Linked DNA regions of Tribolium castaneum. The protein of the gene in region 2 purifies or fractionates together with the protein of the main gene of each other region. This does not show direct contact. Links are inferred from orthologs where the notes say so. Each region holds a gene or a part of one and is shown on either strand. Other genes may lie near its edges.

Region 1 (2,729 bases), on a different chromosome or scaffold from region 2:
TTCAGACGATGAGGACGGTAAGTGCGAGGCGGAGCCGAGTATGTGATTACGTTTTTCCCTCACTAGATCCAAAGGAAGTTTTGAGTTTTAATCCAAAGTCGGGGTCAGACCTGGACGATAACAAGCCGAGTCAAGTGTCAGTGCGCAGTTTCTTTGGGGAGGAGGAGCCCTACATCATGGATACGAAAAATGCGGGAAATATTGGCCGGTTTTTAAATGTAGGGTGGTAGTAGTAGGAGAAAAATGTGACTCACGTTCGTTCAATTTCAGCACTCGTGTTCGCCCAATGTCTTCGTCCAGAACGTGTTCGTGGATACTCACGATCTGAGGTTCCCGTGGGTCGCCTTCTTCTGTTCGCAGTTTATCAGGGCCGGCACTGAACTAACATGGAACTACAACTACGACATAGGGAGTGTTCCAGGACGGGTCTTGTACTGTCACTGCGGCTCGTTGGAGTGTAAAGGAAGATTATTGTAGGTTGTGTAACAACAAAGATTGCGTCTGTTTTTAAATAATTTTATAATAATACATCAATTTCTTTAAATCAATCTACACAGCATTGTTTTTTTTCTTCACATTCATACGCACGTTAAAAATGCAGTTAAAAAATCACAACAGCCAAATAATTGTCATAAACAAAAAAACTGGTAAAATCCTGCACCAACCCTTAGTAATGTTTCGCTCCGTTGAGATTCACTGGCAGTGGTGACATTAAGTACCGCGAAAAACTGAAATTTCACCAGTTTTCCGATAAAACAGTGATGTAAAAAAATAGATTTACAAAATAGAAAAAACTTATTGCTCGACATGCAATCACCATCACATAAAATCTACTGTAAGTACTCGAAAATAGCGGAATGCCATTTGTACGGAAATATGCGTGTTTTTGCTCGCCACAAAAATACTGCTCTATTGCCAAAAATCAATCACCTAATACTACAATTCCCTCGAAAGGCTGCCTTTTTCGTTCAAACTCAATATAAATAAAGCGGGAAAATAAACAAGACACTCGCCTCATTCGCACCACACGCCACTCTCACTGGGAGGGAGTATAAAGGGGGAGGCCAAGCTGCTAGACCGAGAGTACGTTTAATTTGTTTATTTTTGATGTTTAATAGAAAAAGATTAACATTGCGTGCGCCGGGACAATGGCCGAGGAGACAGGGCAAGGAGAGAGGAGAGAAATCAGAGAACAGTCGCTCGTAGAGAGGCTCTCTCATTCACACATTTTGAGACAAACAGATACAATATAGAGTTACGGCTAAGATAATTATAATAATACAGTATGTACTGGGATCGAGACGGTTACCGCCTCCGGTTCGAATGTCTGGGCCTGGCCCGCACTACACAGCACTGGTTAGTTCGTAGTCGCTGGAGATCAGCTAAACAGTTACGACACGTCCTGGTCCTCTACGTCCTGCAGCTGCTCTTTGGGCTCCGCCTCGCCTGCAGACAGATTATTACCGAGCTGCTGACTGATTTTTGATACTAACCGTCTCCTTGCATATCACTGGTCCACAGCGTCAGGTTGTCGCGCAACAATTGCATGATCAGCGTGCTGTCTTTGTAGCTCTCTTCGGATAACGTGTCCAACTCGGCGATGGCGTCGTCGAAGGCCGCCTTCGCCAGACGACAGGCCCTATCGGGGCTATTTAATATCTCGTAGTAAAATACCGAGAAATTTAGCGCCAGACCGAGCCGAATCGGGTGCGTGGGCGGGAGTTCCGTCATTGCGATGTCGCTCGCTGACTTGTAAGCGACCAACGAATGCTCGGCGGCGTCTTTGCGATCGTTGCCTGTTGCGAACTCGGCCAAATATCGATGGTAATCACCCTGCAAAAAACAACTTGTGAAATATTTCACTCCAACCTACAGAATCAATCAATATGATAGATCGCCCCAACCTGTCACTGATTTATTGATCAAATAATTAATTCGAAATGCGGAGGAATGAAGTGTGCACCAAGCAAAGTTCGCCATTATCGCGCTAGATTTATGTTTATAACTTTTCAATAAAAACTAATCAATTGAAGTAGCGTCACCCGCTGCTAATGATTCATTAATAAGTGAAAAAAAATCGATATAACAAGTTATAAAACGACACAAATTGTCCCGATTATGCATGGAAGGTCGCTCGATTGAAGGAAATCGAATGGAAATTACTCCAACAACAAGCCCACCATTATATTGTCACATCGTCTATTGGTACAAATAAATTTACCTTCATTTTATAATAGAAGACTTTCGATTCGCCGGTTGACGCCGCCGGTATCAGATGTTTATCCAATACGTTCAAAATATCCGAACAGATGTCTCTCAATTCTTTCTCGACTTGTGACCTGTACTGTCTTATCATTTCCAATTTGTCGTCGGTGCCTTTGCTTTCTTCCTTCTGTTCAATTGACGATATTATACGCCAGGACGCTCGTCGGGCACCGATCACGTTCTTGTAAGCCACCGACAGAAGATTGCGCTCTTCGACGGTCAACTCCAAGTCCAGCTTGGCCACCTTCTTCATGGCGTCGACCATCTCTGAAAAAAAAATTCAAACGTTATAACTGAAGAGTTACAACACTCGTCTGCAGCTCGTCACTCAATCGTCACTCCTAGTAAATTTACACTTTTACTCAAACAAACTGTTAATATCAGTTCGTATTCACAAGTCTCCAGAAAAAAACAAAAATAATTTAGTGTAAGAACAAGGCAATTTGGAATATTGTTATTCAGAC
Region 2 (2,281 bases):
TCGGCCCAAAGGTCCGAAAGATATCCCCGATTATAACGAGGTTGATTTTTCGTATTTTTCGAAAACAAATTAAATTGTGTTTTAGGTCCAACGAGTATTACGTGAAGAAATCGTAAATCCGCTCCGAAAAAATTTGTTTGTTCGTGCCGATCGCGTGATGAATTTGAGACGTTTATTAGATCGATTAAGTTCGGTGTCCGGTTTAACGAGCGAAGAGAAGGATCCTGAGGAGTTTCTCAATTCGCTTTTGGCGCAGATACTTAAAGCCGAGCCGTTTTTGAAGCTTAACTCGGGTCAGGAGTCGTTTTATTATCAGTTGTTTGTGGAGAAAGACGCCGATTTAACGTTACCCACAGTACAACAATTATTCGAACAAAGCTTTCTCACGAGTAACATTAAATTGAAAGAAGTTCCCTCTTGTCTCATCATACAGATGCCGAGGTTCGGGAAGAACTACAAAATGTATCCGAGAATTCTACCGTCACAGCTTCTAGACGTGACTGACGTTATTGAAGGATGTAAGCGGAAAAACTCTCGTCACTCGTGAAATAATAATTGTTTTTTAGCTCCTCGTCAGTGTATCGTTTGTGGCAAACTCGCCCATTGGGAGTGTCGTGAGTGCTTTGATGATTGTAGCAACGCCGGGCTGGAAAGTACGGCTTTCTGCTCTATGTGTCTCGAAAAAGCCCACAGACACGAACGGAGGTCACACCACCGCCCCGCTGTGAAACTAGATGTCTGTGATGATTTCTCGATCCTTGAAGATCACTGTCGTCCTCCTCGACTTTTCATGGAACTATTTGCTGTGATTTGTATTGAAACTTCCCATTATGTAGCTTTCGTCAAGTGCGGAGTTGGCCACGAGGCGCCGTGGTGTTTTTTCGATTCGATGGCGGATCGTAAAGGTGTGACACCATCTCGCGGCCAAGATATAAAAATTCACGAGTATTTTTCAGGCGAGAAAAATGGGTACAATATCCCGGAGATGGTCGCATGTCCGGATATTTCACGATGGTTGTCGGACGAACGGATCTGCCGCCAGTTACACGAGGACTTCCCCCAAGACCGTCACCTACCCGAACACGCGCGCAGGTTGTTATGTGATGCTTATATTTGCATGTACCAAAGTTCTGACGTCATGATGTACAGATAGATTTTTTCTTTACGACTGATATTTTTAGAATATTTATTTCTGTTTAATGTTGTATAAAGTATAGAAATTTTGATTTAATTTGTTACGAAAACACTTAACCTGATTTAAGAATTAAAATATAATGCTTGTTATATTCAGTATTGTTGTTAACTATATCACTTTGTTATTCTTCCCGGAACTGTAGGAACTATCATGACAATGTGCCTTGCCTGCTGATCTAACAATCTTCTATTTCAAGTATACGTTTGAATCGTATGTCGGCTTCATTTTTCACAAATACAAAGTGATATGGGCATTTATTAAATTTTAAAAGCGATCCCGTTGGATCGGTACGATTTTTCCCTGTCTATAAATTAACTAGAAATCGTACTGGCTCAAATAACCCCACCACATAAATAGTTCACACTTATTAATTTAAAACTATAAAATAGACTTATCGAGTATTTTTTGTAGAAAATTTATTTTTATTGTTAAAGAACGGAAAGAGGGACGAAATAAATTCTAGCAATCAAACAACCACGCATTTTCTTTACCCTTCACTGCCAATCCCAAATATTTAACCCAACCAAAACGAATTAATTTTTTATTAATAAATCAAGATTACATAATTCACAACAACCAGGGAATGTGTCACCTCTCTATGTAAAATACACAATTACAAAAACAATCACTAAAAGCGTAATCACGATTCCCAGTATCAGTATATATTTGTCTTCACCGGCCCTTTTCTCGATTAGTCTCATTGTGTGGTTACTCAGCCCCAGCGTATTAGCCATGTCCATAATGCGACGATGTGCCCCCTTCAAAGTCAGTCTTTGCGACCTAAGCGACTCTAACGCATTAACCCCCGTGTGTAGCATTTCGTCTACACCTCTATGAGAATTCTGTAATGAATTCTGGTGCTGTAACGCATAGTCTATATTGATGGTCGTCAGATCGGGATTAGGGGCAAACCGGCGATTCAACAATTGTTCCCTTTCATTAATCGCAGCCTCTCGTCGTGCCCTTTTCTGTCTAGAGGCCACTAGGGCCGCCTGAAGGTGCCTTGCATCATACTTCAACTGATCGCAGCGCATTTTCGCGTTAGGTCTTTGGTCGATCGGGACTTTATATAAATAAACATCGAGT
Region 3 (4,207 bases), on a different chromosome or scaffold from region 2:
TAAAAAAAAATATCCAATTTGTTGTGTCATCGATTATTAGGTCGGAAAGGTCGGAAAATGCAACAATAAAACCATCATGCTTGTGACAACAGAACCGGGAAACATTCACACAAAGGGTTGAAAATTTTTTAATTACAACTACGGTCTGCCGCCATCGTCCAGGTGTCCGTTCGCCACGAATGCACTTCCGGACGTGCGATTTCCATGCCATTACATCACAAACTCGATTAATTACACATCCGTCCTTTCAAAAATAAAAACGTGACTAAGAAGATTGTGGCCGAATTTATTTTAGTCCTTCCCCGGCTACTTTACGTAAAAATAATCCATCAAAACAATTACTATTTACCGTTATCAGTCTTGCACTCTTTGAAAATGATCCAACTTCGGTGGCTCTCATGCGTGGTGAAAACGCTGGCTCTCGGACAGTCACACATATCGCACGAAAAAAATCAAGGAAAAATCTCAAACGGTACGAAACATGATGAGATTTCGGACAGGATCGATAGGAACGTGTCGATTGTTTATGTTCGGGGGCCACTCGAAAAACTACGCGAGACTACCAGCCGCTGGAAAGAAACTGGCAACGGCCGCATGGGTGCGACTGAAATAGCGATACGGGGAAGACGCCAGGGACAGAGCAAGGCGCTGCCAGCGACGGACTGCCCAAAACTTTCGTCCCAACGTTTTTTGAAAAATATGGGGCAAAAGTTTGATTTTTTTTAAATATAGTTTACAACAAAAATTTTGCACCATGTCCTACAACCATGAATAAGTGCGCTCTCTGGCGACGAGAACGTTTTATTCGTCCATCGTTTCGCATCCTAACTTTTAGTCGTCCGTAGTCCCAAGCCAAAATTTGGAATTGTTTCTGCGGAAATGGCCTTAGGCAAGGCCTCAAAGCGCGTAAAACCTGCAAATAGCCGCCTTTTCCGCATTTCGGAGGCCGGTGGTGAATTGGGGCCAGGCCGTCCCTGGCAGGCCGATCAAGAAACTTCCAACTAAACAAACTACTCTAAATCGGTCTCGCTGAGTCAGCGCGTCTAAAAACAGATGCCCCTTCGTTTCGCACGTATTTAGGAGGAGGAACCGGAATTTCGGCCAAATCGAGCTTAAAGCGCCGGACCTGCACGACTTTAAGGTCGCAAAGCGATAAAAATACCGCGACGAAGCCGTGCAGACAAGTCGACTCGGCTTTGATCTTATTTTTATTGGTCCGTGTGTGACTAACACTGCGACAAATAAAAATTATAGCCCCTCGAGTGTTTTCAAGAATTGCAAGTTGTTGAGTCATGCACTAAGCCAATGCTCTCGGCTAAATTTACAACGAGCCCACAAGAACAACACAACCTACCGTTTTTTGGTACCATCTTATCAAGGCCGGGCATGGTTCTCAGCTGCATGTCGAGATCGTGTAAATCCCATGCGTCCTGCAACAAACGACTCAATTAATCAATTTTACTCATTTTCTATTAAAAGACAATTACGTCATGCGACGTAAAAACCGACTTACAGGGCTTATTTTAATGTTGAGGGGCCGCGACATCTCGGCACTCGGCTGGGGCAGCGATTTGACACAATTATCGCCGTTGGTGCTGGCGGGGAACTGGTCTATTTCCTCCACACAGTCCTCAAACTCTTCGATTTCCTCCTTGTAAACCACATCGTCACCGCCCCTGATCTGCAACGGCTCGTCGGCGCCCGGAAGCAACGAGCAAATAACTTCCATTTTTTTCACAATCTGGAAGCCAAACTTTGACTTTCCCCACTCAAAAAATAGTGCACTCACCTCCTTCATGCTCGGCCGCTTGGCCGCCTCCTGATCCCAGCACTGTGTCATCAGTTTTTCGATGACTGGGGGGCAGTGCCTGATGAGAGGGGGCCTCCGGCCGCTGTGCTTCGCCCACAAGATCATGAAAGCCGAAGGGTAGCCCGACTCCTTAATGTGGAAAAAAGGCTTAAGTCGCGATAACACCTCCCAGAGGATTATGCCCCAGCTGAAGACGTCGCACTTTTCCGTATAGTTTGACGTTTCAAAGACCTCGGGGGCCATCCACGCGGCCGAGCCTTTGTTGTTGGTCATGATTGCTGTCATGTCTGTGGCAGTACCAAAGTCGCATATCTTTAGCAAGGTGCCCCCGTTTATCAGGAGCAAGTTGGGCGGTTTGAGGTCTCTGTGTATCAAAGGTTTGGGTTTCATGCCATGGAGATACTCGACCCCCTGGAAAACCGAGTTAAGAGTGTGTCGGTGCGGCTTCGCCCCTTACTTTGGCGCACTGGTAGAGCCAGGACATGGCGTTGGCCATCGTGTAGTGTACGTTAGGTGCGTGGTGTAGAATATTGAAGAGGGAGCCCCCTTCGGCGTACTCCATCACAAGGCAGATGTTGGGGCCCTTGGTGCAGGCCCCGTACAGCTTGACAATGTTCTCATGCTTGACCCTTGACAGCTGCCGGACTTCCACAATAAAGGCGTCTTTGTCGTTCTCAGAGACGATGTTTTTGACCGCCACGAACGCATCGCGCCAGATTCCCTTGTAAACGACTCCAAAGCTGCCCTCACCGACTGCCTGAAACCACAATGTGTCGGTGGCCACAACCAGGGCTACTTTACCTCAAGCTTCTGAATTTCATTGTAGTTGATTTCCTCGACGGTGTACTGACATACGCTACCCTCATTTTCCGAAGACGCCATCGAAATACCGAAGTAATCACATATTTGGCCACAGAGCGTCCAGACAGCCCCAAAATTACGAAAAATCTCGATAAATATCAACCACCATAAATTTGGTTATGTATCCTTCAGATCAAGTGTCACCTTCGGCTCGAAAATCCCCAGCCGTGTTCAAAACTCGGCGCGAGTGTCAATCATGTCGAGCGAACGGGATTTACACAAACGGGGGCACCAGGGCTTCAAGAAGCGAGTCGAGAGTGACGTGATGAGCAGTGTGGGCAAGAAAGTCCTAGAGAAGAAATTCTTCGTTGCCGTTTACTCCCGGAACATTCCTGAGATAACAAAGTGTTTGAGTAAAGGAGTAAACCCGAACATTCGCTCCACGGAGTACGGTGTCACCCCTTTGCATTTACTCGCCGAACGGAACGACTACATCCTGGGGTACCGCCTTTTGGAGTATAAAAAATTTGACGTGGATGTGCGGAACGCCCACGGTTACACTGCCCTGCATGTTACCTGCTTATGCGACTGCAAAAAATTTGCCCTTCTTTTGCTGGAACACGGAGCCGACCCCAATATTTACGGCCGGTTTAATAAAACAGCCCTGCATTTATCCGTACAGAATGAGAATTACGGTATTACGATAAAGTTGCTAAAATTCGGGGCTGAGGTCAATGTTGTTGACTGCTTTGGCAATACGCCCCTCTCTTTGAGCATCCTAGACACCAATAATTACCTAATTGCCAAAACCTTGTTCCAAAGTGGGGCCAATATGAGCGTCGAGCACCAAAGACCACTCCATATTTTTTTTGGTACTTGATCATCCAAACGAAAAAAGTATTATTAAAATTTGCAGAAATGGTGTTGTATTGCCGCTGCATTCGTCAGATTGATTTGGTGCTGCTCTTGTTGGAGAACGGGGTTAATATTAATATGAGGGAGCCCGACTCAGGGCGCAATTGTCTCCACTTTGTTGCGGTGACCGGTTTTCTGGAACTGGCGGTGGTTTTGGTCGAAAAGGGGGCTAAAATCCACGTTGTGGATAGCTGTAAGCGCAGCCCCATTAAAGTGGCTGTGGACCACGGTAACGAAGTGATCGCCGATTACTTCCGCAAGGGCTACAGACCCCCGCCTTTGCTCACCGCCCTCCCGAAGATCTTCCAGTGGTCTAGCAAGGTCCGGGCGCGAATCAGCGAGCGGAAGCTGGCGGAGATGGAGAAAGAGGCCGAATTGAAACAAAAATAAACAGATCATTATGCACAATTTATTAATATTACGGAATACAACATTCAATAAATATATTGTAAATATTATACTGACTGACTTTTTGAGAGTTAAAACATATAAACATCAATAAACTAGTAACACAGATAGACTTTAAACGATTCAAAAACGCGATATGAGCTCGGGTTTAGTCTAAAAACTTATTACAAAACTAGCCGATGGTAAAGGGGAACATTAGGCTCGCGTTGATTGCTCAAGAGTTGGCTCAGCGTGTAGTAGTCGTTCTTGTTGGGGCCGTTCAAGTAGCGCAGT

The links.
Region 1: the proteins of CYLD (region 2) and 14-3-3epsilon purify together in Homo sapiens (affinity purification with mass spectrometry; 3 studies listed by BioGRID and IntAct, with this or other methods). This does not show direct contact. The link is inferred for Tribolium castaneum from reciprocal best matches to the Homo sapiens genes CYLD and YWHAE.
Region 3: the proteins of CYLD (region 2) and mitogen-activated protein kinase kinase kinase 7 purify together in Homo sapiens (affinity purification with western blotting; 4 studies listed by BioGRID, with this or other methods). This does not show direct contact. The link is inferred for Tribolium castaneum from reciprocal best matches to the Homo sapiens genes CYLD and MAP3K7.

The regions. Positions count from the first base shown.
Region 1 is NC_087401.1:11,223,872-11,226,600, forward strand, and holds the end of 14-3-3epsilon (14-3-3 protein epsilon), read right to left. Parts: intron 2,533-2,729; coding exon 2,222-2,532; intron 1,834-2,221; coding exon 1,494-1,833; intron 1,447-1,493; coding exon 1,391-1,446; 3' UTR 501-1,390; downstream 1-500. Other genes in the region: histone-lysine N-methyltransferase eggless, read left to right, coding at 1-17, 67-218, 271-477. UniProt on the Homo sapiens protein: Adapter protein implicated in the regulation of a large spectrum of both general and specialized signaling pathways. Binds to a large number of partners, usually by recognition of a phosphoserine or phosphothreonine motif.
Region 2 is NC_087398.1:4,982,749-4,985,029, reverse strand, and holds the end of CYLD (ubiquitin carboxyl-terminal hydrolase CYLD), read left to right. Parts: coding exon 1-40; intron 41-85; coding exon 86-518; intron 519-566; coding exon 567-905; intron 906-956; coding exon 957-1,153; 3' UTR 1,154-1,669; downstream 1,670-2,281. Other genes in the region: Membrin (probable Golgi SNAP receptor complex member 2), read right to left, coding at 1,792-2,281. UniProt on the Homo sapiens protein: Deubiquitinase that specifically cleaves 'Lys-63'- and linear 'Met-1'-linked polyubiquitin chains and is involved in NF-kappa-B activation and TNF-alpha-induced necroptosis.
Region 3 is NC_087399.1:3,650,852-3,655,058, reverse strand, and holds the start of mitogen-activated protein kinase kinase kinase 7, read right to left. Parts: upstream 2,826-4,207; 5' UTR 2,693-2,825; coding exon 2,612-2,692; intron 2,568-2,611; coding exon 2,268-2,567; intron 2,222-2,267; coding exon 1,790-2,221; intron 1,742-1,789; coding exon 1,514-1,741; intron 1,431-1,513; coding exon 1,355-1,430; intron 1-1,354. Other genes in the region: putative ankyrin repeat protein RF_0381, read left to right, coding at 2,868-3,483, 3,528-3,916; prohormone-2, read right to left, coding at 4,099-4,207. UniProt on the Homo sapiens protein: Serine/threonine kinase which acts as an essential component of the MAP kinase signal transduction pathway. Plays an important role in the cascades of cellular responses evoked by changes in the environment.